6 linked regions of the Kluyveromyces lactis genome follow. The protein of the gene in region 5 binds, or shares a complex with, the protein of the main gene of each other region. Links are inferred from orthologs where the notes say so. Each region holds a gene or a part of one and is shown on either strand. Other genes may lie near its edges.

The links.
Region 1: ESA1 (region 5) and EAF6 share a complex: the UniProt entries of both Saccharomyces cerevisiae proteins name them as parts of the nuA4 histone acetyltransferase complex. The link is inferred for Kluyveromyces lactis from reciprocal best matches to the Saccharomyces cerevisiae genes ESA1 and EAF6.
Region 2: ESA1 (region 5) and EAF7 share a complex: the UniProt entries of both Saccharomyces cerevisiae proteins name them as parts of the nuA4 histone acetyltransferase complex. The link is inferred for Kluyveromyces lactis from reciprocal best matches to the Saccharomyces cerevisiae genes ESA1 and EAF7.
Region 3: the proteins of ESA1 (region 5) and EPL1 are in contact, whole or in part, in a crystal structure (PDB 5J9U), measured with the Saccharomyces cerevisiae proteins. The link is inferred for Kluyveromyces lactis from reciprocal best matches to the Saccharomyces cerevisiae genes ESA1 and EPL1. Residues at the interface, in NP_014887.3 of Saccharomyces cerevisiae: Ser153, Met154, Thr155, Gln156, Asn157, Pro158, Ala162, Arg163, Val164, Arg165, Ile171, Gly173, Lys174, Tyr175, Glu176, Ile177, Trp180, Phe182, Pro184, Tyr185, Pro186, Ile187, Glu188, Leu189, Thr190, Tyr196, Ile197, Asp198, Asp199, Phe200; in NP_116629.1 of Saccharomyces cerevisiae: Lys75, Asp119, Tyr120, Ile121, Pro122, Thr123, Pro124, Asp125, Ala126, Ser127, Met128, Thr129, Trp130, Glu132, Tyr133, Phe136, Tyr137, Thr138, Gly139, Ser140, Phe141, Glu143, Thr144, Thr145, Ser146, Tyr147, Ile148, Lys149, Phe150, Ser151.
Region 4: ESA1 (region 5) and EAF1 share a complex: the UniProt entries of both Saccharomyces cerevisiae proteins name them as parts of the nuA4 histone acetyltransferase complex. The link is inferred for Kluyveromyces lactis from reciprocal best matches to the Saccharomyces cerevisiae genes ESA1 and EAF1.
Region 6: the proteins of ESA1 (region 5) and YNG2 are in contact, whole or in part, in a crystal structure (PDB 5J9U), measured with the Saccharomyces cerevisiae proteins. The link is inferred for Kluyveromyces lactis from reciprocal best matches to the Saccharomyces cerevisiae genes ESA1 and YNG2. Residues at the interface, in NP_014887.3 of Saccharomyces cerevisiae: Asn226, Arg242, Lys243, Ser439, Gln440, Trp445; in NP_011958.1 of Saccharomyces cerevisiae: Leu5, Glu8, Gln9, Ile11, Gln12, Ser15, Asn16.

What each region holds. Positions count from the first base shown.
Region 1 is NC_006041.1:566,525-570,612, reverse strand, and holds EAF6 (Eaf6p), read right to left. Parts: upstream 1,538-4,088; coding exon 1,190-1,537; downstream 1-1,189. Other genes in the region: AIM24 (Aim24p), read right to left, coding at 1-454; ARP7 (Arp7p), read left to right, coding at 1,988-3,304. UniProt on the Saccharomyces cerevisiae protein: Component of the NuA4 histone acetyltransferase complex which is involved in transcriptional activation of selected genes principally by acetylation of nucleosomal histone H4 and H2A. The NuA4 complex is also involved in DNA repair.
Region 2 is NC_006037.1:1,006,650-1,011,876, reverse strand, and holds EAF7 (Eaf7p), read right to left. Parts: upstream 2,918-5,227; coding exon 1,709-2,917; downstream 1-1,708. Other genes in the region: peptidylprolyl isomerase FPR1, read left to right, coding at 1,066-1,410; NAM9 (mitochondrial 37S ribosomal protein uS4m), read left to right, coding at 3,309-4,757; SRV2 (adenylate cyclase-binding protein), read right to left, coding at 4,964-5,227. UniProt on the Saccharomyces cerevisiae protein: Component of the NuA4 histone acetyltransferase complex which is involved in transcriptional activation of selected genes principally by acetylation of nucleosomal histone H4 and H2A. The NuA4 complex is also involved in DNA repair.
Region 3 is NC_006042.1:2,335,809-2,341,764, forward strand, and holds EPL1 (Epl1p), read right to left. Parts: upstream 4,824-5,956; coding exon 2,403-4,823; downstream 1-2,402. Other genes in the region: BST1 (Bst1p), read right to left, coding at 1-2,073; BUD27 (prefoldin-like protein), read left to right, coding at 5,578-5,956.
Region 4 is NC_006041.1:1,911,455-1,917,633, forward strand, and holds EAF1 (Eaf1p), read left to right. Parts: upstream 1-2,794; coding exon 2,795-5,812; downstream 5,813-6,179. Other genes in the region: CTM1 (cytochrome c lysine N-methyltransferase), read right to left, coding at 1-894; protein-transporting protein BCP1, read left to right, coding at 1,477-2,295; KLLA0_E21473g (uncharacterized protein), read right to left, coding at 5,928-6,179. UniProt on the Saccharomyces cerevisiae protein: Component of the NuA4 histone acetyltransferase complex which is involved in transcriptional activation of selected genes principally by acetylation of nucleosomal histone H4 and H2A. The NuA4 complex is also involved in DNA repair.
Region 5 is NC_006042.1:1,031,824-1,036,887, reverse strand, and holds ESA1 (NuA4 histone acetyltransferase complex catalytic subunit ESA1), read left to right. Parts: upstream 1-2,544; coding exon 2,545-3,864; downstream 3,865-5,064. Other genes in the region: pseudouridine synthase PUS7, read right to left, coding at 1-614; mRNA splicing protein PRP46, read left to right, coding at 876-2,180; peptidylprolyl isomerase RRD2, read right to left, coding at 3,967-5,049. UniProt on the Saccharomyces cerevisiae protein: Catalytic component of the NuA4 histone acetyltransferase (HAT), a multiprotein complex involved in epigenetic transcriptional activation of selected genes principally by acetylation of nucleosomal histones H4, H3, H2B, H2A and H2A variant H2A.Z.
Region 6 is NC_006037.1:628,509-633,226, reverse strand, and holds YNG2 (histone acetyltransferase YNG2), read left to right. Parts: upstream 1-1,767; coding exon 1,768-2,655; downstream 2,656-4,718. Other genes in the region: rRNA-processing protein FCF1, read left to right, coding at 135-704; KLLA0_A06996g (DUF4112 domain-containing protein), read right to left, coding at 817-1,428; KLLA0_A06952g (uncharacterized protein), read left to right, coding at 2,904-4,718. UniProt on the Saccharomyces cerevisiae protein: Component of the NuA4 histone acetyltransferase complex which is involved in transcriptional activation of selected genes principally by acetylation of nucleosomal histone H4 and H2A. The NuA4 complex is also involved in DNA repair.

The sequences.
Region 1 (4,088 bases), on a different chromosome or scaffold from region 5:
CTACGCTCTTTGGGTTCAATACTATCCAATCCTGTGTACCGTTTAACTGTAATACAGATAGCGTATCTGAAGACTTACGAGATGATACCAAACAGTTGAAGGTGTTGGTTCCCACAAGTTTATCAAATCTGCTTAACGAAAGAGTAGGCCAAAACGTGAACCATTTATTATAAGAAACATTAACGTTGGATAATCTATCGGAATCGTGTATCGATACGATAGAGTTGTGCCTCACATATAATGGGATCGAAGGTGAAACTTGTATCGAGGCTAATGTCGGGTTGTCCCCCAATAGTTGGAATTGTGTAGTAGTAACATTAGATCCATCCTCTCTAGTGGTTTCAGCATGGTTATCAAACAATGGTTTCAATTCTAATTGTGATCCGCTCAACACATTGGATGGAATCACTGTTGTTGGTGACGGCCTTAAAATCGAGATAGAACGCCTCCACATATTTTTTCTTTTTTCGCTACTTTTTCTCACTAAGAGAGACAAAAACAGTTATTTGCTTCAATTGATGTCTAATCCGATTAAACGATCAACAATTGGGTACCTTTTCAAACGCTCCTAATCGACAGCAATTCACGATTCTGTCTTTGTTCTCATTGGTTTGTTTGAATGTGTAATTGCTGCTCTATCTTTTGTTATAATAATATCTAATTCTTTGAAGCTGAAAATTTCAAGGTTTTGGCAGTTTCTGAAAATTGATTGGCTGAGTGATACTCCAATTAACAATCAAGAATGGAGGTTAGAATTCATGCTAACCACACATACATACACCATTACATAGCACCTGAGTCTCATCTAAGACATTGGGACAATTCGGTTGGACTGGAAATCTGTAAACGATTCAATCCTTTGCTTCTACGAGTAGTTTGACGCAAGTTTTATTGATTAAACTGATTCTATGATCGTTGATCTGACGGATGAAAAGAAAAAGAGGCCTCTCAAAAATTAAGGGTAAGTAATTGAAAATACTTTAGGAAGAGAGAATACATAATGTTACAAAGTGATTAATTATCACGAGCATTTAAAGAGTGCTTCAAGAGAAATAGATGCGGGGTAAAATAATACCGTTTTTCTTCCCCCTCCCTTAGTTTCTCTTGTCTCTTGTCTCTTGTCTCTTGTGTCCGGTGTCCTGGACCTGGATATGTCTCAGTGAAGAGGGCAAACAGATAAGCTTCCTGTTCAATCATTGGACTTCGTTTGTTCTTGATGATTGGAAGCAGCCAATTGTTTTGCAAAAAGGTACGAACTTAATGAAAAAATGCGATCATTATCGTCCAATGGCTGGGCATTTGACGAATGTGAGTGGTCAGACAATATCTGCTGCGCAGAACTGCTCTTGTTGAAACCCTGAAACCCGAGCAGAATGTTCCCCATTCTGGAAGATGGTTTCTGTGATAGATACTCTGTTTCTTTATCGTATACCTCTTGCTCTAAACTATTCCACTTGGCTTCGAGTTGTTTCTTCTGTACTAAAGCATCTCGAAGCTTCTTCTTTAGTTTCTCGTATTCTTTCTTTTGTTCGTCCATAGTTGTGTGAGATGAGTGTTAGGTTATGTTAAATCACTTTACCGATAGAGTAGAACACAATCAAAACCAGATTCAAATCCGTTCGATAGCGGATCGTCTGTTTCATCCTTTCTTGTTATTATATATGCAAATTGGATGTTGAAGTAGTGCGTTCTTTCAAACAATATTAACATTGGCGACGAGTCCGGGTAACAGTACTGGAACTCAGTTTGGAATTTGAAATTCGAAGAACCGACGAAAAAAAAGCCAACATGTAAACATCAACATAAACAGTGTTATCAACTCTAGTATCCCGTTTAAGAGCCATAATTTTCCATTGATAGCAGTTATAATCGGCAAAAACAGGTAGCTGTTGAAGAAGTTAATCCTTATCTGCTTTTGAAAATTGAAGATCTTCTCTTTGTTCTGGTGCATATAGAGTGATTACGTTATATCTATTGCAAGTTCAAGATGCCGACCATGAAGAGTGTGGTGATACAGATCTCGCAGACTAGGGTTATTTGTGGGTTCAGCAACCAAGATTTGCCGCAGTTAATTGTACCATCTCAATATTTGGCCTATAAAAGAGATGGATCGGATGTTAAAGTTTTCGGTAAATGGGAAATGATAGAGCATTGCGACGATGAGAGCGCTGAAATATACCAATTGTACGATAAGAACGGACTTCCAAATGATTGGGATATGATGGATGCTCAATGGCAGTACATCTTTCAAAGCCTAGGCATACAGTTCGAAGACTATCCAGTATGTGTTGTCTTACCTTCCGACTTAAACAGTGCGCGTCGTAAGAGATTTATGGAACAACTGTTGGGGTACGGTTTTCCAATGGTCCAACTTTTGAATGAGGCTGTCTGCAACACGTTGAGTCAGGGAAGATCGAGTGGAATTGTGGTGGACATTGGCCACAGTGGAGTGAAAGTGGACGTTGTCATTGATGGTGTTCTTTTCAAACAATACCGCAAGGAGAACAAGATCGGTGGTGCATTCTTAAACTGGCAGATCTGCGATCAATATTTGAAGCAGGATTCGGGCAAATCAACGAAAATCTGGAGGGATGCCACTGAATGGCTACCCAACTTCAAGAATAGCATGCTGCAAGTTTCTCCGATTGAATTGGATGCTAATTATGACGTGGCTCCTCATTACCAACATATGGTGTCACCAATGGACTTGACCAAAAATTTCCTACTCGATAAGAAAACTCTCACCTTCACTAACAAACAGCTATACACCATTGGAGAACTCTTGTTCAAGCCAGTGATACACGTAAGTAACAATGCAAACGGAGATGTAGAAATGGCAGATGTCAATGACATAGAGAAAAAGCCACATCCGGAGAAATTAATTGGGGTCATTGGATTGATCAGAGCATGCATCCAAAGTTTATTAAATGGTGTCAATGCAATGTCCACCGCAGGCAGTAACACTACAGGGTCCTCCACTACGACGGGTAATGCTTCCTCGGGCAACCAAAGCAACAACAACGAGGATACGAACATCCCAACGCACAGCTACACTTCTGAACAACTACAAAGTCTACTGCTTACGAACATTCTAGTGACAGGAAGTACCTCGAACATTCAGGGTTTAGAGCAAAGAATATTGAATGACGTTTCAGTCTCCCTAAACGATCTAACCACAGTGAGGCCTAAGATCCTTTTCAAACAGACCAAATTAGACAGAAACTTCCAATCATGGCAATCTGCAACAACCTTATGCAGACTACCGTTGCGCGAATCGTTACATGCGTGGGAATCTATCGAATGAATGGCGATATCCACCTGCCCTACCTCTCACTCAACTGGCAGTATAAAAATATAATAATGTACGTACCGGATAATCTTCAAACCCAAGAAAACTTAAACCAAATAGTATTAATCCACGTGACCGGATCTGGAATAGTAATTGCGAAGAAGGATAATTTAGAGGCGCTGATCCTTTTCAAGAAAAGGTACCAAAATAGTAAGACAATACCCTAAAAGAAGGCATCCATTCTCTTTCAACAAGCATTTTCGCGTATAAAATGATAGAAAAAGACGCGTTCCGGGAAGATTTGACTCACTCCGAAAAGAAACGTAGTACGTTTCTTTTTTAGAATTTCCTCCTGGAAAAACAAAGGGACACCAGAAAACTCCGTAGAGACGTGGAATAATTATCTAATTATTCAAACACATGTACGCATTTAGATTAGGTATTATCAAGAATCTTCCTTTGAATTGCTAGGATAACGTAAACAGTGTGACATGGAGGGGAGGCTTATCAGAAGGTAAACACAATGTCCCTGATGACCCTTGGGTCATCAGGGACATCTTATCAACAGCAATAACAGGGACTTGTCAAGGATGTCAACAGTGAAATGTAAGGCATTTGTGATTGTCCCTGCAACCCGGTGTTTTCAAATGGGACACTTTATCAGATGGGACACTTAGTTATTCCAGGATAAATGGCCAATTTTTTCTAAGAAGCACCAGTACGAATAGAGGGATTTTGTAAAAGAGACACGAGGACGTGGATAATGTCTGTTTTGTAAATAAGCAATGGGACAGGACGG
Region 2 (5,227 bases), on a different chromosome or scaffold from region 5:
AGTCGAAACTTGCTTTCAGTGGTATTAACAGAATAGGCAAAAAATGCGGAAGAACCATTTGATCCGTCATTGAGAAACTGTGAAGACGAAATCGGAGAACTCTTTAGTCCACCTTTCATTCGATAGCCCATGGTTACGGAACTGAATTGCAAGACTATGTACATTTTTGTACGACGTAACATATTCGCTGGGCAGTTTCTTTTCTGCGGCTCAGTCAACGGAATATTTTGCAATACTAAATGAAACTTCATAACATGTTAGCTAATAAGCCGCTCTAAGTATCACCAATTCCGTTTATGAATAAGAGTCGATGTGCTACTGTGAATTCACATCTACTCGACTACAAGTTGACCAGCACAATTAGGATCAACCTGCTTTTCCAGAAATGTTCTCTTCTAGACCCAGTAACCAAGAATTTGCTCACTTTCCCTTAACAGGTATCGAGGCGTTAATTCTAAATAAAGCAAATGAGGGCTGAATTACAAAGCACCATACCTCAAAGTTTTGAAAACCTGGCTCTTGCTATAGTTATTCACCTTTTAATTATCAAGCAATTATAAATCTCAAACACTTCTGGACATACAGATGCGGACAGAGCATAATAGCAAATGAGATATTTCGTAGGATATTCGATGTAGTACGGCTTAGTGACGTCGGTTGTTGTTCAGGAATGTACAATTTCAGGTGATTTAAAAACCCTATGCTAAAAGGTTCGATGATCTTTATTTGAACTGACCTGAATGTTGGCTGTGCTGCCGTTGCGTCTGCTCAAACCTCTTACAGGCATGTTTCCGCGAAAAGTGATTGCTTAAGTAAGAAAGAAAGAATGCAGTCACGTGACAAATGCTGAAAGTCTTGAAGTCATTAAATACGTTACCACTGCTTCTAGAAATCATTATCGTTCAGAAAACAAAAAGTTTTCATTTCTATAATAAGGATTCCTACATTCTACACGAAACTGTTGCAATTACGAGGCCAATTGAGTGCTATTTTGTGTCAGTTTAATCCGTTATTGTATTGCAGTTTTAAAATAACTCAGCTATCACACATCAAACAGCAGAAACAATGTCCGAAACAATTGAAGGTAACGTTCAAATTCTAAGATTATCACCAGGTGACAGTACCAACTTCCCAAAACCAGGCGATTTGGTAACAATCCATTACACTGGTACTTTGGAAAACGGTCAAAAGTTTGATTCTTCCGTTGATAGAGGTTCTCCATTCCAATGTAACATTGGTGTAGGTCAAGTTATCAAGGGTTGGGATGCTGCTATTCCAAAGTTGTCCGTTGGTGAAAAGGCAAGACTAACTATCCCAGGCCCATACGCTTATGGTCCACGTGGTTTCCCAGGTTTGATCCCACCAAATGCTACTTTAGTCTTTGATGTTGAATTGTTGAAGATTAACTAGATGTATAATGTCATTCTTCTGAATAAAACACATACTATTAATTTCCTTCACATTTTTTCTTTGGTTTCTCCCTTGATTCCTTCCAATTGGTCCCATCCATTATTATTATTATAGCTTTACATCTTTCCGTACCTTCTCATCAACCTTTCAACATGGGAATTGCTATCAAATTGTAGCCGTAGTGTTTGTATGCTTCCATTTTAACATTCAATTTTTGTACATCAACGAAATGCCTATAATATAAACCATTAGCTATATTATGTTGTTATTGCATTATTGAAAAAACAATCAAGAACAACTACTTCCTGCTTCTAAGCCTGCTCGAGAGCCTTGTAGTTGGTTTTGTTATGGATTTTCTTCTTGTTCTCCTAGCTGGAGAATCCACGTCGGCAAGATCTTCAGGAACTTCCTCCGCAGCGGCAACTTTTTGTTTCTTAGGGCGCGGCTGTTGAGATGATTCCGTTTCGTTCTCTTCTGCTTTCCCTGTCGGCGAATTAGCTGATTCCTTGGCAGCACCTTCAGATTCATCAGCAAATGTGACTTGTTTTGTAGCTGTAGTATCTGCGGCATCAGCAGTCGATTCTTTTTCGCTACCAGATCTCCCTTCTGTATCGTGTTCGACATCTTCCTTTTCATCGGTGTTTCCGCCATGGGGTTGGTCTTCTTTGTTTTCACTTTCGTCATCAATGCCTCGCTTTTGTGAACGTGTCAACCTTGTAGAGCGTCTTGTCCTTGGTTTCTTATGAGCATCGACAGGTTCATCGACAGGTTCATTCGCCAGTTCGCTCACAGATTCTCCAACACTGACTGGCGGAGTGGTCGCCATTTCTTGTTTCGCCTGTACATTATTTTGCTCAGTATCCTTTTCATCGATATCCTTTTCTCGTTCCCGTGGCTCTTCTGACTCTTGTTCTACTTGCGTATCCTGTGATTCCGCACCCTTCAGTTTTGCCTTGTCATCCGCAGAAGCGGTCTCCTCTTGCTTAATATCTTCCACCTCATGATCCCTAGCATGTTCTAACATAAGTTCTCCATAATCTTCCCACGATAGTTCAAATTCCGTCTCTTGCTGGAGTCTATTTTGTAATGGTATTATATTTCTCTTAAGCTCGTCACAATTGTCAACATCATTGTCACTGTCATCATCATTATCTAGTTGAGCGTCCCCTTCTGTCTTTTTGTTTGTAGTTTCGGTTGGTCCGTCATCATTATAAAATTCAGGGTATGGCTGGTTCTCTACTTCATCTGCCTTCTCTAAATTATAGTACCGACTCAATTGTTCCCAAACGTCCTCCCCAGAAAACACTTTATCTGAGCTGCCTTTATCGCTTTGCAAAAGTTTGATTGGATACTGATCTGGCTTGTTCAATCGCTCAAGCAAACACACCATATGGAAGTGTTTATGTATTCCTGCAGGTTTGAACAGCATCATCCATTTAAACAGCCTTATTTCCTCCACTTTACTCCATGTTTGCCCTCTAGGTGATTCTATCTTTACAGCGGACATCGCAGTGAACCGTATCGTATTACTTTTATCTGAAGTATCACAACCTTATACACCAAAAGAACGTTCTTGCAATTGATATAATAAAGTTCCTATCAAGATCGCTGATAAAGCAGATCGTATGAGGCTTGATACCATCTTCGCCAGTCCATCTCAATATGGTTCTATGGTGTTTCTCATCTTTCTAAACTATGAATGCTAATATTTGATATCATATGTCACGAAATTCCTCTAAAAATTTTTCAATATCGGAAAGCTTCAAGCATTAGATAGCGTTTGATTGAAAAATATTATGCAGGTAGTTCGGATATGCAATGTATTTCCATTTCGAAGAGTCCGTAAGCAGTCAATTCTGGTTAGTTTTGTCAATACATTGTGAAGAAAAAGACCAGCAATGCCTAGGAAAGCTGTACTTCTGAACTCTTTGTCCAGAGGGAAGGTTCGTACCTCTTTTAACAAGTACAATTTGTTCAACTTGTATAAGAAATCTCAGGTCAGTTTTAGATCGAAAACACTATACCAACAGAAATGGACTTCTAAACAGGAAACTCGTGCCTACCATGGCGAACATTTAACAGAGAGTAGGTGGCAGTCTGTTTTCGAGCCTCAGCTAAACTCTGTGGCTCAATTAGATGCTTCTCTAAGGGGTGGTGATATCGAACCGACGCCCATTCTATTACAAACATACGCTGTACTAGAGAAAAGGCTAGACTTTGCTTTGTTTAGAGCTATGTTTGCCTCGTCAGTGAGACAAGCTCGTCAGTTTATTTTACATGGCAACGTCCATGTGAATGGTGTAAAGATTACTTCTCCGGGATATGCCTTGAAAGCTGGTGATGTTTTCAACGTCAGACCCGAAAAAGTGCTACAAGCTCTTGGTGCCAAGAAACCTAGCTTGAAGGAAGCTTTGAAAGTGGATAATACCCAAATTTTCCTATGGAACAAATATATTCTAGAGGCTAGAAAGAATCCTAGAAAGTTCTGGGATGAAAAGATCGAAAAACTAAGAACTATGGATAGTAACGATCCAAAGAAACAGGAATTTTTATCCTTCCTCGAAAACTACAACAAAACCATGCACATTCAAATGAGGAAAGAATTAGACCAAACCAGTAACGAGTATTTGTTAGCTAAGATCTTTTCTACCGTTAACCGCGTTAACGATGTAGAAAAATTGGCAGTAAAAGATTTCTTGGGCGAATTTTACAATAACGAAAATTTGGCAGCTAAAGGATTCGAAATTTATAGAGAAGTCAAGTCTGCCAAGGCTGTGGAAACGATAGCAGGGAAGCCTTTGGCTGAAATTCCTAATGAACAAGGTGAATTGCTAAAGGTGGCTACAGGAATAACTAAACCTGTTGATAACACAAACGATGCCTTAAAGAAAAAATTCAGAGCCATCAATCATACTATAGTTGATTTGAGACATTTCTATGAAACCGTGGTCAGAGAACATTATAATGACAAGATGGCATCCGTTGATTCTGTTGATATTCCATACGATGCTAAGTGGGCTGAAAAGTTACCATTGCATCAAAAGATCAATGTTCCTGAACTATTGGAAAACGAACCAGCTGCTCAAAAAGCTATCAATTTACCATGGCAAAAGGGTGTGTTTGGTCGTAACGATCCATCTAAACCATATTTCACTCCGTGGAAACCAAGACCCTTCTTAGCACCATTCGCCATTCTACCACACCATTTGGAAATATCATTCAAGACATGTCATGCGGTCTACTTAAGAGACCCTGTTGCACGTCCAGGTCAATCTGAAGTTATTACTCCATTCGGCTTACCTGTACATGAACGTTCATACATGTACTATGTGAGAAGGGGTAAATAAGTTGACGAAAACAAATACACACGAAAGAATGGATACACTGTGACTATGACAATTTAAAAAGAATGGTGTATCTTGGAAACCTTGTACATATTATTATCATTATTTTATCGTATCATATTATATTAATTATATATATATATTTATATGTTCTAATGAGTAAAGAATAAACTAACACCCAGTAACGAGAAGATATACTATTCAGATATTCAACCAGCATGTTCGTAAATCTTGGTTTGTAGTTTACCTTCGACGAAAGTGTGTATCATCTGTTCTGGAAGTGGAACTTCAACGAAGTCACCATCGGGACCAGTTGGAGTGTTGATGTTAATACCAGTGCTAGAAGAGGTGAAAATTTGAGCCTGTAAAGAGTTTTTACTCAAATAAATGGAGCCGCTATCAGACGCGTCGATGGTGATTTGTGGCAGGGTGTTTTCCACTTGAATACCAAATCTCAAACATTTAATAATATC
Region 3 (5,956 bases), about 1.3 Mb from region 5:
CATCAAACCAGTATCAAAGCTGATGAATTTACTATCAGGGCTGTCATAGTAGTAAAACTGGTAGCATAAGACTAAAGCAATTATCGATATTGGAATTGATGCAAAAGCTAATCTGAATCTGATATAAAGCATCTTCAATGTTAGTTTCCAGTTTATGGATAGTCTTAAAGAAATTTCCTCTCCAGGTGGGATGAAGAACATCAAATTTAATGACTTGTCTATGGTATCATCAAGTGGTATGAAGGGAGATATATTGTGCATATTGATTTCATGAGAACTTGAGGCAGCCAATAAATGCCATTTGGTTTCATATGGATTATTAACATACTGTCTCATCATCGGTCTGAACATGCTATCTATTTCGTCAGAGAAAGTTGTTTTCAAATTGAAGGAGATTAGCGAGGACCATAAATTTGGGAATGCTAGGCCATGGACAAAAGAATGTTTATTTTTTAAGGACATTCTAAAAGGGAATAAAGATAGTTTCCACAATCCGTCGCTTGCAGTTTCAATGCTCTTATCATCGCTATACTTTGCTAGAACAAAGTCTTCCTTCTTTTTCATTGAGCCCTGGAAAACTATTATTTGGAAACCCTGCAATAGAGAGCCATTTAATGAGATAAAGCGAAAAGGAGACACCGATTCTCCCCATGACGAGTCAGTTGGGAATTTTTGTAGACTTGTGGAGTGAGGAACTTTGGAAAAGCTTGAAAATCCGTTAATACAATCCTTTCCATATATGTCTTTACAAAAGAAAATATCGAATTGGACGAGTGATGTGAGCATTTCGAAGCTATAGTCGACAGACTTAGAAATATTGAAGGCATATCCTGTGGACATTGATTCAGAAGAGTTTAAGACAAGTAAATGATTCTCAGGGACACTTTCTGTGTCGCTGAAATCTACGGCTGGGGCGCTTAAGTTTTTATCGATCAATTTATCTGCATCAGTAATTCTTTCAAGTCCACTCAAGAAAAACTTTCTTCCTTTGCGCATTCTAATATCTAAAGTCGCGGTTTTTCCTCCTGCATCATCATTGACAATTTCGAGAATATATTTTGCCAAAAGATATCTCAACTGATCACACCACACTATTGCCAAATGGTCAATTGGGGTCCATAGCTCCGGTATTGTAGTAGTGAATGTAGTGAAGCCATTTGATTCAGGAACAATACCTTGGAGATTTGTATAATCGGCAGGCAATATGTCATCCAAAATACCACCTGTTATGGAGATCACAGAAACATTGTTTCGAAAATAACTGCCCATATCATTCATGGCTGAGGTCCAGTATGAGTTTACCCTGTCATAAAGTTTTAGAATATCACCATCAAAAGTGACGGGGGCTGTTGAATGAGGGGACGACAACGTCAGGATGGTATTTACAGACTCTGGTATGTGATTCGGTAGTGTAAGCATTAATCTTGCCACTATTCCTCCCATGGAATGCCCCAATAAAATGACAGATTTAGGTAGTGGGCGGTTGGATTCCTTATAGGCAGCGCTTTGAGCATACATTGACAAGATATATCGTACTGCATCGTTCAAGTATACAGCCTGATCCAGCATTGTTTGCCCATGAAAGGCAGTGAAATCCTCATTGAAATCGGCTGTGAAATAATCCATGTTCTTTGCATTGGAATTTTGAATAGTTGATTTATGGTCAAAGTATAAATTGGCACTTGCCGCAGCTATAGATCTAGCTTGTTTGAAACTTCCTGCATTGCCGGGAATAAAAAGGACAGGTATACCATCAAGCTGTATTTCATCACCATGTTTCGGCTCTTTATCTTTACCTTGTTCTCTGTATAGGTAGAGGTGGTATTTTTTGGCGAGTTTAGTGTGTCTTGAATCAAATCCATCAATTCTGGCGTACGAAGGGTACATATAGATTGATCTGCATTTAGGTGTATCTGATCCGCTGAAATTATGAGATATATGAGTGGAGGTAATAATGCATAGCAGAAGCAAGCCCACTATGATTACAAGCGTGCTTCTTTTCCTTAGTTTCTTCGTCAATGTAGGATACCTGATGCGAACAGCAGACTCAGCCGGTAAGTCAATTTGGACCATTTTAACAACTGGCTTGGTAAACCACTACCAGTATCCTAGGTATTATTCTAAATTTAGTGTTCCTAGTGAATGCACTATTCTGGGCATAGTTCATCAATCAATGCTTGCAATGGTACATAATGTTAGATGCAAGATGCCGATTTTAGATGCGTAAACCAAAAAAAAAAGAAGCTGAAGTCAGTTCAGTCACGTGATGTATAATGCAGCTCACGATGCTTAATAACATGAATTATCTATATTGTTACAGATTCGCATAAGAATGCGGAAAATACTAATTACAAGTTCATATTTATAATGGGATTTGGTGTCATCAAAAGTTTACAATTTCGTTATGCAGCAGCGTTAGGAGTAACGTGTTTCTTTGGCGGACTGGACTGATTTGGAGTTGATCCTGGATTCTTCCTAGTGTCCTGATGAGATGGTGGGGAAGAGGACTGTGAATGAGGAGCATTGTTAATGGGCTGTTGACCCTTTTGTAGCATTTGCTGTTGTTGCAGGGAATTCAGTTTCTTTCTTTTGTTGATTTGTTCCTGTCTATATTTGATGGTGGCATCTCTTAGTTGCTCGTATGCTTTGGATCCTAACATGGTTCCAAATCTTACCACCTGAGTATCGTTTGAAATTTGGTTCAACTTCGCCGGTTCGTCGGAAAACTTGGACCCGTAAATGTTGTAATTGGAATCATATTTCCAGTGATAATATGACCTGGATAAATCATCCAGTTTAGAATCATACACATTTATAACATCATTATCGAGTTCTTGCTTCTGTATTCCATCCAAATCAATAAATTGTAATAACATGTCGTTAATATTGTGATCAGTTTTTCTTTGGTCAATATATTCCATATTGAAACGACCGCGACGGCGTCTGAAAGCGATTGGAAATTCACGAGAATGAGTATGAATCTCGTTATCAAATGGATTGAAAAATTCTAACTTTTTATACTCATTGTTCTCCACAGCTTCACCTTCCTTGTTAAAAACCTTTATATCATTCGCAGTGCCAGTGATATAATTTTGAAGATTAGGTGAATAGTAGGATGTTTTTACTTCGAACTTTGAGCCAGCAACAGAAGAAAATGGAGCATCTTGGGGGCTGACGTTATCTGGTATTGAAAGGTTGAAAACAGGATTGTAAGGATCATCAGTGAGGTTGAAAAAGATGTCACCATCTTCCTGTTTCCTTTTTCTCATCCTGTCTTCAACAAATTTCCTTGTGCTTTTTTCCTTTGAATGCAACAATTTACCGACATCTTCTAACACGATATCAGGTATCTTAGAGTTAGGCAATTTAACATATACTTGAGAAGATGCCTGTTTTTGCTGTTGTTGTACATTCGAGACATTGGCAACAGGCGACTGAGCTCCAATTTCCTGCGCAGATGACAGTGATTGTTCTTTGTTTTTATTTGAACCAGTTTTTGGGCCTTTCTTCTTTGGCTCGCTTCCTTTCTCATCAGCATATAGACCACTGTCTTCTTTGTGAAGTTTCGACGATTTTGAAGATTTTGCACGTTTAACAGATGAATCTGAAGTAATGGCTGCCTGCTGCTGTTGTAGTTGCTGTTGTTGCTGCTGTTGTATCTGTAGCTGTTTTTGAAGAAGAAGTTGTTGTTGTTGTTTGATTGTACGCACCGAACTCACGAGTTTTTGTTTCTTTGCCGAGTACAAATCCTCGTTATCGGCATCTATGCCTAACTTTCTCTTCATTGTCTTCAATTGGGCTCGCGCTTGGAAGACGAACTTTTCGTTTTCTAGGACTTCTAATACTGCTCTTTCTCTTTTGGCTACAGTGAGTGCCAAATCTTTAGTATATTCCAATTGTTGGCATAGAAGTCGCAATTTTTGTGAGTTCTGAACATCTATCCGCCTTGTTTTCCTAGGTTGTCGAAGCTCTCTCCTACGGAAACACACATATGGATCATTATCGTCTTTATCATTATTACGCTCCGATTTCAATTGTGGGAAGATATCGCAACCATGACGTGATATCTTGCGTTGCTTCCAATGATCGTGTATTTTCTCTCCGAACAATTCGATAAGAGTCTCCATATTTTTTTCCCTTTTACCTAGAGGTCTTTTATTGTCAAACATTGTCAAGAATGGTTCATCTTCAGGCATCCCAATTTCCTTCGCGAGTTCCTTTTTTACGCCAGAATCACCAACATCGTTTTTCAACATGGTTGGTTTTAGGTCTGCAAATGAAAGTATACTCTCGGGATCCATGGACAGGAAGGGTTGCCTATCTTTGATGGAAGACTCAAAGTTGGCCATAATTAATTCAAACTCATCTTCCGTTAGAGGTTCGACCGAATCCGCCAGGGATTTATTTAAATCTGCCAAAAAGATTTCGTCTTCTTCATCCATATTATACAAAGTACCACAGCAATCTTCTAATTGTGCAGAAAACTGGATATAACTCGTAGGACATTTGAATTCACCTTGGTAAAATCTGTCAAACTCGTCCCAAGTTTTCGAGGCGTCTGGTGTTGGAATAAATAGATCCTTCTTGTTCTCTCGAAGCTGATTGGATTGAAGAATTTTGTATAAATGCTCTTCCTTTTCTTCATTCTTCTCCACACCAGTTTCAATCTCCATCAGCTCTCGCTGTTGATGCTGGGAACTGATGGCCGAAACATCTTCTTGTTCCAAATCCTTAATTTCATGGCTCTTATAGATCCGAAGTCGTTGCTTCACGCTGATCTTTCTGTGCCTGAACCTCGATGAATCCACTGCAGGAGCTGGCATACTGCAATGTGTCAATGCCCGTGTGTAGTTACCCTGATAGCTATGCGGCTGAAGCCAAAGAAGGATCTTTGAATTCCAGATTTCAATAGCGAGAAATATGAAAGGAAGGGTAACTACAATTATCCCTCTAAAAAATTGGTTCTTTTACGGGGGCCCAAATTTATTTTCTTCCTGTTTTCGGGGCCAAATTTTGCGAAAAACTTCACTGGCAAGCAATCGGGTGGCGGTGAAGGAGGCAGAAAACAAGGAGACCAAATCTAAAATAGGACTGAAGATAGCAGCTATTGGTACGGATTTTGCAGAACTGATGAAAGTCCTTAAGTATCACTACTGATGGTTGATTCTCAGTAGGTTTGAACGAGCCACCGGACTGTTCTGAAGCGCGTGGTTTTCCTTTTTATGTTGGTTGTTTGGGTGGAACGCAACAGTTTGTCCGGTGAATGGGGGTATTGGTTTTTTCTATATTGAAATCCGAACTTATGGAAAGAAAAAAAAATTTTTTACGTCTTCTACGGAAATATGAACGTCTCCCATAACCACCTTGGTAGACAATAGGAATTTCTGTTCACGTGACTTCCATTGGGTCAAGGTAAATGGTGATGCCAAAAATTGTATGAGCTTCTACCAAAAAGAAAAAAAAACGGAAATCAGTAACTTGACATCCGTAATGAAGTCATCTCATCGCTTGTTGAAAGAGTGAGTTATCTGAGGCAGGTAAAGAGGCTGAGAAAATCAGTCTTAGTCGTGAAACGCAATGGAAACAGCAGAAGGTGGGGCTTCTTTTGCCGAGTTAATGGATACTGTCAAAGGTACCATAGATAATTTGGTAAACAAAAGAACCTTCTTAAAGGAACAGCAGCCGTTGTATGAACAGATATTCGATAGGATAAGAGATGCTGACACGAGCGAAGATTCGGAAGAAGAATGGCAGTATGGTGAGGTAGTATTTCAGAATGGTAAGTTTTTCCAAAATATAGGTTACGATTACTATTTGGAGAAATCTAGGGAAGAATGCCTGGTTTTTATAAAGGTTCGATTGAACTTAATTGCCGAAGCCATTTCACAATTTGATGAGAAACTGAAAGAGGCACATGGCACATTGCGAAACATGGAGTTACTTCGAGACGGTGCAA
Region 4 (6,179 bases), on a different chromosome or scaffold from region 5:
TTGGACATTATTGGATTTGGGTAAGAATCCATAAATTTGTTCAAAATGGACTAGCTCTTCCACTGGAGCATAGCTTATAAATACTTGAGCTTCTTCTACGGTAGAGTCAATATCATCCAGTTCTAAATAGAGCACAATATCATTAGTTCTAAGATCAATATCAAAGTGAGCATTTCTATGGTCATTGTCATGATTAACAAAGTCCAATAACGGGACCAAAGTTGGGCTGACAAAAAAATCATCAGTATCCTCTCCGGAGGATTCGGGTATCTCCAATATTCTGGAGATAACACTACAATAAACAGTGGATATTAATTTTTCATAGTTCATACCTAGAAACCTCGCTGATATGAAACGGTTTATAATTTCAATGAACAGTTGTTGAGGAAAGTTCAAGTACTCTTTGTAATATTGGTTCCACTTATCGGCATCTTCTTGAAAAGTATTGCAGGGAAGTGGGACAAAAGTCTTTAAAAGAACTTCGTTCAAGTAAAAAGATGCGAATCCAGTAAGTTTGTAAGTTTTATTATCTGAAAGAATAGCCTTTAGGACCAAATATATCACTATCAGGTTCGTTTCATTGATAAATGCGTGGTGATTTTCATCGCTTAAGAAAGCTGTCAAGTGGCCCTTTATGGAAGCAGTAACCGCATTTTCTGATGTACTTTTAGCCAATATGTCTCGTATCGATGTCATTGATATAGTAGCAGATCTCGGAATCCTGAGAAGTTCAAACTTACTGTCTTTCTCTCCTTTAAGTGTTCTTAATTTGGTGAAATTGACAAACACACCGTAACCGCCGGTGTCTCCATCAACCACTGACTCTCTGATAGTAGTACATTCACTCTTGGTTATGGGAGTATTCTCTAGTAGCCATTCAGTTGCTGCTTCCATCTTATATTGCTGTTTGTTTATGCTTGTTTATGGATATTATTGCATCATAATAATGGTACTCAAGCAAGCAGGATACTTTTTATATAATTCCATTGATATGACATAGAAGAAACGAAGCAAAAGGTTTTACAGTTTAATTTAGGTCAGGTTTGAGAGTTGATTTAAGTAGGGTGTATATATTGAGTAGTGCTTTGCAGTTGCACTTCGAGTCGCTAGTGATATGTTCCCAGAGGTATCTTAAATATGATCACGTGCTTCTAGATGAACCATGACTCCCCTACTGCAGTCTTCTAAAAGATAAAACTTAGGATTACCGTAATAGCAATTCGCTGTACACGATAACAACTGACAAGGGACTCGCTGATTGATATTTTAATTATCCCTTTCATTTTTACATTCTTGACAGCATCGCATGTCATCTTTACCTTTTCGAAAAGAAACTATTCTTTAAATTTGATGCAAACCTGCATTTGGCGAGCTCATCACTACTTTAGAATAGATTCGAGGAAGTTTCAAAGAGATAAACAATAGTTATTAGTTGGGCTTTATTAAACCAGCAACAACACTCTATTTTAGTCTGCAATGGTCCAGGTTGTTAAATTAAGTGCATTATCCAAGAAACGTGCAGTCGATGAGGAATCTGATCTTGACATATCAAGTACAGACTCAAATATTTCAGACCAAGAAAACGGTCAAGAGGAACAAGAAATCATCAACATCGATTTTGATTTCTTCAATGGTAATCCCGACGTTGATTTCCATGCTTTGAAGAATCTGATGCGTCAGTTGTTTGGACCACAGGAATCGAACAGAATTCAACTAAGTGAATTGGCAAATTTAATCTTGGACTCACCAACTACTACCATCAAAACCGATGGTAAGGAGTCTGACCCATACTGTTTCCTATCATTTATCGATTACAAGGCCAACAAAGATAGTGATTATGCCAAATATCTTCGTAAAGTTGACCCCAAGCTAGCTACTTTCCTACAAACTATAGATCAATCGGAGAAGACTTGTTCGTTAGTCTTGAGTGAAAGATTGATTAATATGCCACCAGAAGTTGTGCCGCCATTGTACACTATCACATTAGAAGATGTGAAGCTTGCGCTTGGGGATGATAAAAACTATGATTTCTACCTAATCGTTTCAAGGAAGTACGAAGTGAATTTTGATATGGACGAAGACGATCTAACATCGAACCAAGCTGTCCGCAAGAAGGTAAGACAAACAAACGAAGTAGACTATTTCCATGAAGAAGATCGTTTCCTTGAAAAGCTAGCCAAAGTCCATGTGGATTCCGAGGCGAGAAAGGGTCTTATTACATCGTACATGGTTTTGGACCATGCTGGACTAATTAAATCCATCGAAGATCTAGATGCGGCCATCAAGACCTGGTGAGTGATGTAAATGTTCAGTAGTTACATTGAGGAAGGTGATGATGGTATGTGGATTAATCCCGTTCTGGGAACCCAACAATTAACGCACGTGACCTGATCTTTAGTTACCCTCCTTACATGATTTCGGCCTCCCAAAAGAAAAAAAAATCTTTCAAGGAACAAAAAAATTGCTGAACAACATGAAATACGTACTTATATAGTAGAAATCGAGAAAACAAGCCGTAATACGGTAACAGAACAGGACCGTGAGAACACTATTCGACTCAGTTTCAAAAGTACCTGACACAGAAAAGCCTTGTTTGGTTGGACGATCCTGTTGTTTGTACAGAAGCGTGCTGTTTCCGAGACAAGCCCTCGCTAAAAGAAAAATCAGAGGACCCAGTTTCCTTTTTTTTTTTTTGGATATTTTCCTATCACTTGCCATTCAGACCGAAAGTTATATTTTTTCAACGTGACAGATATTCACAGAACATCTAATAGAAAGTAAGGATTTCAAGGCGATGAGCAGTGCAAGCAAAGGGAATGCTACTGGAAGTAAGAGCCCAGAGCAGCTCTTAGAGGAGAGACGGCACTTGCTAGTACAATTGTACTGTATCTCACAAATTACCGAGTTAAAAAACGTGGAGAATCATGAGAGAATAGGGAAGGAGATAGAAAAGTTTTTAGATCAACATACCTTGATCAAGGACAAGCCTATAGATATTAATGCATTGCCTAAGTTTAGGCCGAGAGACGTGTCGTCAGATAGGAAGCTGAATAACAGGAGTAAGAGTTCTTCACCGTCAGAAGTGAAACGAGAATTGAAGAAACAGCGGTCGAAAGACGTGTCGCCAAGTGGAAGCGAGGAACATGATGTGGATACGCAGACACTCCCGCAGTCTCAAACAAGGGTAGTTCCACGAGTTCAGTCACAGCAGTCAATTCAGCAAAGTTCAAGGCAATCTATGGTGCAAGCGCAGTCATCTCGACAGCTGCAGCAGCAACAACTGCAAAAGCAGCGATCGGTGTCTCCCACACAGAAGCTGCCGATAACACATAATAATGTTCCTCCTGTGGTAGTTCAGGCACATATGGAACCGAAATCTGTCCAATATCCGGAGACCCAATCAAAGCCAAGTACTTCTGGAAAGCGTTTGTTAGATGAGGAACAACAAGATATTTCCGAAAATCAAATAAGTAAAAGGCAACGGCTTGATAGTGGAAACCTATCTAATTCTACCGCTGCACGTAACGCTGCAACAATGGAAATTCCGCCTCATCCTTATTCTCAGATGATAGACATCTCACAATTGCATGCTGACCCAACACCAATTGGGGTGAAAGAACCTCAACCCTATATTATAGAATCTATTATCAACAATGTATCAAAGGAAGAGCGTAAGACGTTTTTCGAAGATGACATAAATGTGAAAGAGGCGGTATACATGATTACGAAAGAGAACGCGCCAACCAAGTTGGCAAAGGGTATGCCCATTCAAGAAATCAAATACTTATCCCAGACTTTGCCCTTGCTGAGATTGATACCACAATCTCAAAAAGCATTGACGACTGATCTGATTAATACTGCATTGAATGAAAGACGAATCACTGTAGTAGCATCAAGGATAGAGGAATTGAGAAGGCTGAATCTCTGGTCACTTAGACAACCAAGAAAATTTATCGATCCCGTTACCGCTTCACAACCTGTAACTCATCATAATGTGTTGATTGAAGAAGCAAAATGGATGCGTGAAGACTTCCGTGAATCGTTGAATTATAAGATAGCCATGTGCACTCAAATGGCACAGGCAGTTATGGAATTTTGGACTTATGGTAAAGTATGCTGTATCAATTGTAAAAGTATTCCACCGCCATCAAAGGACATAGAAGATATTGCTTCCTCCCAAGATATGGGAACAAAAATCAGTACAGTTGAGCCAGAACAAAAAGATAAAGAATCAAACACAAGTCCTGATCAATCCAACGATGATGGGTCTTCTAAAATTGCTGAAGATGTGGAGATGTCAGAGGATGGTGTAAAATCAAGTACCGGTTTAACTGATGGGAGTGAAGCGGTGGAAGAGAAGTCTGAAAATGGTATCAAAGAGGGGGACAAGGAAACTGATAAAAACTCATCTGAAGAGCCTACCATAGACATACAAAAGTTACTAAAGAGAGTTAACCCCAAAGATGAAATCGTCGCTCCATCTCTTCCGGTTACCTCCATGGAAGTTTATTTAGCTAAGAAATCATCCTCTCCCTTCAGGAATTACATTGATATAAAGGAATTATCAACACTGGGAGCAGCCATTTCAAACTCACTCCCTTTGTATGGTCTTTTGGACGAAAAGAATCTCGATTCTAGCAGACCATTGCCCTTTGAACCGGTTTCAAAGGCAATTTCTCCTCTTGACGAGGACCATTTCATGAAATTAGTAGAAAAGCAATTTGTTGACGAAGAACCATCTCTAGTTCCTTTATCAAAACGACGTGGTATGTTTTATGGAAATAGACGTAGCCATTATCTTCGCCCTCCTAATGCGCCATCATTACGCTATTTGAAATTTCGTACACCCACCATCTGGTTACCTGAAGATGATCAGGAGCTTGTCAAAAATATAAACCAGTATGCCTATAACTGGGACCTCATTAGTTCTCAGATGTCCAATCATCACAAAAGAGAATATGTTTCAAACATCGAACGTAGAACCCCTTGGCAATGCTTTGAGCGGTTCGTTCAACTAAACGAAAAGTTCAACATTGCAGATATGAAGGGTCCAAAGGCTCATAATGCACAAATATGGTTGTACGAAGCTCATAAATTACAGCAGCAGCAAAAAAGGAGAATATCTCCCCTTGGTGTGGGATCGGAATCCATACAACGAGGACATAGGCGTTTACGCTGGGCAAGTATGTTTGAGGCAATGAGAAAGTGCATTAAAAAAAGAGAAAACGCACCCAGACCAAATCCTTCGCAGCCGCGTAAACCTTTTGATGTTAAGAATATGAGTGTTCCAACCCCTCAAGAAATGTCAGACTTAAAAGCTCAGCGTGATGAGGCCTTGAGAAGGGATATGCAAATAAAACGTGCTGCCAAACAAAGGATGCAGATGGCTCAATTGCAGCAAGGAAAGCTTCCTCTCACTACAGCATCAAGTCCGAATTTGCCTATGGCAAATAATCCTAACTCAAAGGATTCAAGAATTAGGTCTAAGCAGTCCACTCCCCAGAGTGCACCACCACTAGGTGAAAAAGAAAAGGTTACAACTCAAACTCCCACACAGAGAAATACGAAACCGGCTAATAAACGTGAAATCATTGAAGGATATGCCAAAAAAATACTTTTTCAGAAACCCAATTTCACTCCAGAACTTGCTCTAATGGCTGCTGAAAATATTTACAGGAGCTTGCCATTGTCTGATCAACAAAGGAAAACTGTAATTTATGACAATGTTGCACAACCGAAAGTGCGTCCACCAGAGATGAAACATTCTTCTCCGACGCCTCAAGAGATTTTGCAACGTGCTCAGAAAAAGTGAATACAATTAATAATATATAATCAGTTCATAATCACAACATTGATTCAAGCAAAGAATTACGAATAATGAGTCCTTTTGTTATAATCATTATTTCAATATATATATGTATGTAAATTCAAACATTTGGGAAAGTGTAAACAGCAGATTCCTCCTTTGGTACGCCGTTGGCTTTGTAGGATACTTTCCATTTCACTCTGAGTGGCTTTGGGGCATTCTTCACTGCGTTATCAATCCAACTTTTTTGATGGATTCCATCCTTTGCATAGGATGACAAAACAGTATTTGATTGTGGTAAAAGTCTCAATTGTTGGGCTTTAGGAACCGCTAGCATTAATGTAAGGTCTGTAAGTTGCGAAATTGACACATT
Region 5 (5,064 bases):
TTTGCATCCTTAGTTTGTTCGATCAATTCTTCTTTGCTAACACGTGTTTGGCGAGAAGCCATTCCAACAATGAAATGGTTTGAATCCGTCGTTACAGATTCTAACTTGTTGTCGAAAGCTCTACGTAGCAGTTGATGTATTTTAGTCCTTTCAAGTTTATCATCGAATGCCTTCGATGTTTCAATCTTTTTATTTGAGCGGTACACAGCTTCAATTTTTTGAACATCCTCTTCTCCCAAAAGTTCAACAAGTTCATTTCTAATTCCTTCATCCACCTTAAATCCTTGGCGTTTCTCAAGTTCTTCTTTTTGCGATTGCTCGATTTGTTCTCTCGTTGGCTTTGGCTTCTTTGGCATATTAAAACCTTTGTCAGTCAAATGCACAACTTCGCCTTGCTTGGTGATTTCATTGACTAAAAAGTCAGTGTACCTTTGTTTGATCTGACCATTGAAACCAACATTATCCATTGATAAGTAATGCGTGATACCAACATCCTTTTCAGTGATGTTGTTATTGTTTATACCTTCATTTATACCTTCACCAACTTTTGTCCTCTTAATATCTTCTTGCTGGGCAGCAGCTTCGGACTCTCTTTTCAAAGATTGGTCTGACATTATACCAATACTATACTTTAACACGAGAGTACTAATACCTGGTACTTGTTATAAGCAATTAAGAAGCGCAGCTTCCAGATTTGAACAACTGACTTCTGCTTCAATGTGATGAGATGAGATGAGATGAGCTCGAAATTTTTCAAGAAACGAAAAGAACCGTTTTGTATGATGGATATTATGAAAAGTTAACGAAGTGACATATACAAAGATGAAAGAGAGTTACACGACTTAATCGAACTGATAGACAACTAATAAGTACCAATGAATACATCCAGCCGTAGCTCTGAACCTTCGAAGGTAGCAGATGATGTTTACGTTCAAACTCGGTGGAATAATGAATTTAAACATGCTGATTATTTACCTGAGTCGTTACAGAAGTGCCTGGATCAAGAAAAGACTGTTTTAGAAAGGTACAGTGAATTAGTTGAGGTGTCGAAAACTGTTGCAAACGAAAGCTCTCAAGCATTAGTCAAACATACCACAAAACCAGGCGACCAACTAGTACGAAGAGTGTTCCAACAGCCACATCAGCAGATTTCATTGATGGAACGTTATGAAAAGACTCGAAGTTATAAACCGCAATGGCATGCACCATGGAAACTCAGTAAGGTAATAAATGGTCATACTGGATGGGTAAGATGTGTATGCGTGGACCCCGTTGACAATGAATGGTTTGCTACTGGTAGCAACGATACAACCATTAAAATCTGGGATTTAGCTGCGGGAAAGTTGAAAATTACTCTAATCGGGCATGTAATGAGTGTTCGAGATATTGCTATCTCAAAGAGACATCCTTATATGTTCTCAGCAAGCGAAGATAAACTTGTAAAATGTTGGGATCTAGAAAGAAATACTGCAATTAGGGATTTTCACGGTCATTTATCTGGCGTGCATACCGTTGATGTTCATCCGAGCCTTGATATAATAGCTACTGCTGGTCGTGATGCTGTAGTAAGGTTGTGGGATATACGATCAAGATCTGAGATAATGGTTCTGCCCGGTCATAAAAGCCCTATAAATAAAGTCAAATGCCTTCCCGTTGACCCACAAATAATCAGTTGTTCCGGGGATGCAACAGTTAGACTTTGGGATATCATTGCAGGGAAGGCAAGCAAAGTTTTAACGCACCATAGTAGAAACATCAGAGACTTGACGCTACACCCAGCAGAGTTTAGCTTTGCCAGTGTATCTACGAACGACGTCAGATCCTGGAAATTGCCCGAAGGACAGCTATTAACCAACTTTCAATCCCAGAACACTGGGATTTTGAATACCGTATCAATTAATCACGATAATGTACTATTAGCTGGTGGAGATGACGGTACTTTGTGCTTTTACGATTACAAAACAGGACACAAATACCAAAGTATGATGACAACTGAAGTTGCTGGCTCACTTGAAAGTGAGCGATCGATTTTATGCAGCACCTTTGATGTCACAGGAACAAGACTCATCACAGGGGAAGGAGACAAAAGCATCAAAATATGGAAGCAAGTCCCTGATGCTACAGAAGATACATTCCCTGGCTTGCCGTGGAATCCCACGTTAATATCTCAAAGATTCTAATCTAGCTGGTGTCTACTTGCAGCGACTTATGTAGAAGTTTGTAGTTTAACTCTATTAGGTCCCCGTTTTCCATCTATCTAGAATATTTCAGTCTGCATTAATTGCGAGGTTTGCTCTAACTGTCATATGATTACAGTCACGTAGTCAAGGACAGGGAACGTCAGGTTTTCTTGTATGTTTGTTCAAGCATGGTGTTTGCTTTAATACGGTAATCTGAATAAATTAACTGAAATTTAGCATCTTCAAAATATTTGAACTTATTAGTTACGCAATAAACCAAATCCAAAAACAGAGCACCTCTGTAAGAGGAACTAGTAAGGCAAGGCAACTGTTTAACAAATATTTTGGGCGAGCTCGCTAATACATGAGTCACGGCGAAGAAAAGGAACCTGGGATTCCCCAGAAGGTTGACAGCATCGATGAGATTTTCGTTGGATGCAAGTCATGGGTACTAAAAGATGGTCAAGATCGTCTTGCTGAAATTCTATCCATTAACAGCAGAAGAGATCCACCTAAGTTCTACGTGCATTATGAAGACTTCAATAAACGTCTAGATGAATGGATCACTGCTGATAGGTTACAGATAGACAAGGAAGTCATTTTTCCTAGGCCTAAAGAGCTTGAAGAGAAGAAAGACTCGAAGAAAAAGAAGCAGCAACAGAATAAAAGTGCTACACCACAAGCAGCCAGTGCTACTCCGGATGGTGGGGATGTGATGGATTTGGATAATTTGAATGTACAAGGGATTCCTAATGAAGATATTTCCAGAGAAGATGAAATAAAGAAGCTTCGTACATCGGGGTCAATGACACAGAATCAGAATGAGGTGGCTAGAGTTAGAAATTTGAACAAGGTGATTATGGGCAAATATGAAATAGAGCCATGGTACTTTTCACCTTATCCAATAGAGTTGACTGATGAGGATGTGGTATATATCGATGATTTTTCCCTACAATATTTCGGATCAAAGAAACAATATGAACGATACAGAAAGAAATGTACTCTACGACATCCTCCAGGTAACGAGATATATAGAGATGACTATGTTTCCTTCTTTGAAATTGATGGTCGGAAACAGAGGACATGGTGCCGTAATCTATGTCTTTTGTCTAAACTTTTCTTGGATCATAAAACGTTGTACTATGATGTTGATCCATTTTTATTTTACTGTATGACTAGGCGTGATGAACTAGGCCATCATATTGTCGGTTATTTCTCAAAGGAAAAGGAATCAGCTGATGCTTATAATGTGGCATGTATTTTAACACTACCTCAATATCAAAGAATGGGTTACGGTAGACTATTAATCGAGTTTTCTTATGAGTTATCTAAGAAAGAGGGTAAAGTCGGATCACCAGAAAAGCCGTTATCGGATTTGGGTTTGTTATCTTACAGAGCATACTGGGCCGACACCTTGATTAAGCTTTTGGTAGAGCACGGCCAGGAAATCACCATCGATGAAGTTAGTTCAATTTCCTCTATGACTACCACTGATATTCTTCATACTGCAAAAGCCTTAGAAATATTAAGGTTCTATCGAGGTCAGCATGTACTGTATTTGAATAGCGATGTGATGAAAAGGTACAAAAAGCTAAAGAATAATAAGAGGAGATCTATAGATCCTCAAAAATTAATCTGGACACCCCCAGTATTTACCGCTTCACAATTACGTTTCGCATGGTAAATAATGCATCGTGAATTGCGGTCTATGTTATTGTTTGTTAACGTTATGTTGGTATATATAAGGGTAGTTAAGTTTCGGTATACGCATCATATGTAATATTATTCAATCAAAAGGAAATAGTCTTACGTCTTTATTAGCCATTTGAGATGCCGCAATCGCACTAGGGACTGCAATACCGCAACAATCCGCCCAAGTACTATGACCATGCGATCCATCAGTACAGCATGAATCATCTTCATGATGATCTTGTGCGCGTGCTGATGGTTCACTAACGCCCTCGGGACATTTCAAGAAATATCCGAAATAGAAATGCTGCATGATTGGTAATTTTTGTAGAACCTCTGCCTTATACATTTTTACCATGCCTTCAGCAACTTTTGACCACCGTTTCACCCCGCTTATATCATCCAACATAGGTGAATGCCATCTCAAACTAGCTGTGGTTTTAACTTTATTAATGAATGCAATGCAGCCGAAATATAGATACCTGTCTTGGAACATTTCTACGACTTCTGGATTGTGAATTGATTTTGGTTTCAAATGCTTATGAGTGGATAGTTGGAATGCACCGAAAAGAAAAGGTAAAAAGTGATAGTCATCTAGACCCCAAACACCATGAGAACCAGCAGGCTCCAACCAGTATTTGAGCTCAAGTGATCTCATTATCCCCAAATATTTAATGAAAAGCATCAATACAATATTCGAGCTGTCGTTCTCCAGATCAAATACCTTTGATTCTGTCAAGCAGTACAAGAAACATATGAAGTTCAATTCATGACCGGAACCATAATCAATCCTTGACCTATCCCCCCAAGAGTTAATGAAATACGTACAAATGTCATCCAACTTCCCTGTGTCAGGTTTTTCAATGCCTTCAAATATCTTTGATATTAGCTCATTAGAGTGCTCCGAAATGTCATCATAAAAATCCCTAAATTCGATCTTACCGAATCTCGAGGTATTAGCATCTTTGATAACCTCATGCTTCCCAATGATTTCTGTTACTTTTGATAACAAGTTAGAGACTCTTTGGACGTTATCACTAATTGGTTGAGTGTAATCATTGTTCTCTCTGCCCCGTACACTCAATGCCAAGGTATTAATAAATCCAATCACGTCTTCAAACGTCTTGGAGTTATTCCATAACTCCATATCATGCTCGTTAATTAATCTCTTAATAGCCATGATTTAGCTGGAAAT
Region 6 (4,718 bases), on a different chromosome or scaffold from region 5:
TATGAACAAGCGACGAGATGAGATGAAATGAGATGAGATGAGATGAGGCAGATGCAAACAGGAATACATACTTCCGTACCTCGCTAGATATTATTCTGATATCGGTATTAGGGAGAGTAATATTAGTGTGTGTCATGGGTAAGGCTAAGAAGACCAGAAAGTTTGCGCTTGTGAAGCGGACATTGAATGCAAAGAAGGATTCAAGACTCAAATCGAACCAGGCAAAAGAGGTTAAGAAAGATGATCCTGAGTTGACTAAAAACATTCCACAAGTATCCAGTGCATTGTTCTTCCAATATAATGAAGCTATCAAGCCTCCATATCAGGTACTCATCGATACAAATTTCATCAATTTCTCTATTCAAAAGAAGATTGACATAGTGAAAGGTATGATGGATTGTCTTTTGGCCAAGTGTAACATATTGATAACAGACTGTGTGATGGCTGAATTAGAGAAGTTGGGTCCCAAGTATCGTATAGCGTTGAAGCTAGCTCGTGATCCGCGAATCAAGAGGCTAAGTTGTTCGCATAAGGGTACTTATGCGGATGACTGTATTGTTCATAGAGTGTTGCAGCACAAGTGTTACATTGTTGCCACGAACGATGCTGGTTTAAAGCAGAGAGTGAGGAAAGTGCCGGGGATCCCATTGATGAGTGTTGGAGGACACTCCTATGTGATTGAGAAGCTACCGGGTGTGTTCTAGGATAATATAAAACTGGGATTTAGCATTATACATAGCGGTATGAGTATGTATATATATATATAACTTTTCTTAACAGGATAATAATTGTACATTAGCACAAACGGCTTCTCGCTTATGTCTGTTTCAAGCCTTTTACCAAGTCTGGGTCCCTTCCTGGGGAGACAGAACCTAATTCTACAGGAGATGCGGCAATGGTTTCACCACCGTATTTCTTTCTCAAGTATTGTTCCAATGCAAGTGTGTTCCTGGAATTTGCCTTATAAGCAATCCCAACGATATCACCAACAATGGGAATCAACCCTAATAGGAAATCGATACAGATGTTCCCCAAGAGCTCTGCCTGCAAGGGCACAGGCAAACCACCTTGAATCTTCTGTGCTTCATGGAACACTGTCCATGACAAGTACAAACATATTAGGTCACCGACCACTGGCAAAAGTCCAATGATACCGAGCCATCCAACTCTCATCCCAAATATCTTAAACATCATATCAAGCCTGTAAGCTCTTTTCCTAACCCGTTGCAACACTGTTCTGTCATTTAATGGGACATAATCTGGAATTGCTTTCTTTAGCTTCTTATGCACAACTTGGCTATTTCCAGTCCAAAACGACTTCTTCACAAAAGTAACTTCCTCATAGTACGGATCCTCACCCTCACCAATCTTAATGTCGCCAAATATCTTGTTGGAAATCTTGCGTAGAATAAATGAATAGAACACCATGGTTTAGATTCAAGGTAAAGTTAACAAAAGAAACTGTCGTCGCCTATAATCGTGGTAAATTCGGTCTTTAACAGAGTTCAAATAAGCTCATATGCCAGGACTAGCTTTTCTGAATAATAAATACTCCCAAAAACTAATGGAAACATGTTTGTGAAGTACCAAACCATGTCCCTTTATCATGACTTTTTCTATTTCAAAGCCTTTAAAGCCAGGGAAAGCTTTAAAGCAATCTGGCAAACAATTTTCCATTGAAATAGCAAAGATACGTATGTAAGAGAAGAAGCTGTACAAAGAACGCTAGGCAGGCGCAGTTAGCATTTTGGAAGGCTGTATGGAAGAATGAGTAGCATTAACGAACGACCACAGGACCCTTCGAGTGCGTTGGAGCAAGCTACACAGGATGTTGCGAACTTGAAATCAGAGTTCCATCATATCATGGATGAAATGCAGGTAGCAGATAAAACCCTGGTGAGCTCAAGAGAGCAGTACCTACGGGAGGATTACGTGCTTCATAAACTTGTGAAACAGCATGGTTCGTTGACCAAGGACCCTAAAGAGGGATCCATTACTGAGACGGTAGAAAAAGAGATGAAGCGATGCGGCGATTTGCAACAACAGAAATGCATATTAGCCAATACAGCATTGTATCTAGTAACGAAACATTTGAGCAAGATCAAGGCCAACATCGAGTCACTTGAGGAAGATGGGTTACTTGCACCCTTGGATGATGAGCTTTCGGATAAGAAGGCTGGATCTGTTGATTTAGGAGCTGGAATCGCTGGCCTTGGTAACGGAACGGCTGGATCAGGTTCCAGTTCTGGTAGGAAACGGCCAGCCTCTTCATCATCAGCGAACGGGAAAGGACAGAAGAGAAAACAGCAGAAGAAAGAGAGATCTAGGTCTCATCAGCGTGCAGGAACAGTGTCTCGTGACGTGAGTCCTAACGCTGGTATCGGTAGAGATCCGACTTTCGATGCTTTGGCATATAACGATGATTTGTTCAAGATGAACCAAGGCGGCGAAGAAGACGACAAGCAGTTGTACTGTTTCTGCCAAAGAGTATCATACGGTGAGATGGTGGCGTGCGATGGTCCAAACTGTAAATACGAATGGTTCCATTACAGTTGTGTCAACTTAACGGAACCTCCAAAGGGTCAGTGGTATTGTCCAGAATGTCGACTGGAAATTGCTAATCAGAAACTAAATAAGAAGAAGAAGAAGCAATGATCAACGAAGGTTGGTATGACCCATTCATGGTCTTCACATTTCTTCACTCCTGCCGCTCGTATATATATATATATATCCTCATATGTAAATATTTTCAATTCTATCATGTAATGTATTATTATAATTAGCATTTATTCGATTCTTATTCTATATTCGACTTTGACATCTTGTGCTCTTTGTGAAGAGATGCAGAAAAACAGGCGAAAGCTATCGAAATAGTGGTCTCTGAAAGCGCACCAATAGGCAACATGGCTACACTATTTGGAAAGACGTTGTCTCAGGTTCATCCGAAGCTTCGAACAAATGGTATTGGTATTGCAACTAACCATAGACGCATTTCGCTAGGGTTCGATTTAGTGAGCAGAGACAAGAAGAATCCGTTATTACGGAAGTATTTAAGGAAACGCAGACATCGTGGGTTGAGGCGAGGGTTGCATCCAGATGAGCAAGGTAGTTATCACACTTTGGATGAGGATTTTGGAAGCAGTGTTAGAGAACCGTCTGTTTACGACGATTTAGACGAAGTTTTGGAAGATATAGATGAGTACGATGAGGACGGAGAACCCTTAAGTCGGACGGTGTCATTGCCCTCGAGGGTATCAGAACCAAGCAACGTATCACAACAAAATCTTGATTGGCTCTTAGAGGAGCACGAGAGAAGGTTCTCATCATCGCAGAACAGTGAGAACGACGAAGATGAGGACCTTGAGAATGGGACCTCAGAACAAGCGGATGTAATAGCATATGACGACTTTATGCACCGGGTCAGACAGCAATTGCAACAAGACTTCCATGATAGAGCATATGCAGGTGGTGCTGGCGGTAGTGGTGCAGGCGGTCCCAACAGGAGACGTGGGTCGCTAATATCAGTAACTAGTCGAGGTTCAGTACCGCAGGTATTTCAAGATGTGGGCAGCATGAAAGAAGAAGATTTAAGCCATGCTAAAGTAACCGCAAATAGTGAACTCAAAGTGTTGGCATCGTATTCAATCCCATTGATTTTCACTTTCTTATTGGAACAGATGTTCCCCGTGGTATGCTCGTTAACGGTGGGTCATTTGGGGAGGACAGAATTGGCAGCGGTCTCTTTGGCTTCAATGACCACAAACATTACGTATGCTATCTTTGAAGGTATAGCCACGAGTTTGGATACACTATGTCCATTAGCCTACGGATCTGGGAATTATTACAGTGTTGGTGTTCACATGCAGCGCTGTATCATGTTTTCATTTACAGTATTCATACCGTTCGGATTTATATGGTGGTGGTCTGAAACATTGTTGACCTTAGTAATGCCGCATGAACCAGAATTAATCCATATGACCGCGAAATTCCTTCGAGTCAGTATACTCGGTGCTCCGGCCTACATCATATTCGAAAGTTTAAAGCGGTTCTTACAAGCACAAGGTATCTTTGATGCAGGGATCTACGTTTTAATGATATGTGCTCCTTGGAACATGTTTGTTAGTTACACTTTGGTGTGGAATGAAAGAATAGGTATGGGATTTATCGGAGCACCTATTGCTGTTGTACTCAATTTTTGGACTATGGTCACCTTGCTATCGTTATATGCTATATACGTGGACGGATACAAATGTTGGGGTGGGTTTAACTCCAAGAGTTTAAAACATTGGAAAGCTTTGTCAGAACTTGCTGTTCCCGGTATCGTGATGTTAGAAGCAGAAGATCTATCCTATGAGATTTTAACCCTATTCAGTTCTTATTTTGGTACTCCATACTTGGCCGCCCAATCCGCTGTTTCCACCACGGCAGCGTTATTGTACATGATCCCATTCTCTGTCGGTATCTCATCAAGTACACGAATTGGAAATTTCATTGGATGTAGAAGACCCAACTGTGCCAAATTGAGTGCTGAACTCGGTATAGGGTCTAGTTTATTCGTTGGACTGCTAAACTGTTTGATAATCAACGTGGACAAGAGGAGCATAGCAAATATCTATACAAAGGACGAAGAAGTCATCCAGTTAATGTGTCAACTGTTACCGTTGGTCGGTATAGTGGAGATATTCGACTCTTTGAATGCGATCAGTGGATCATGTTTA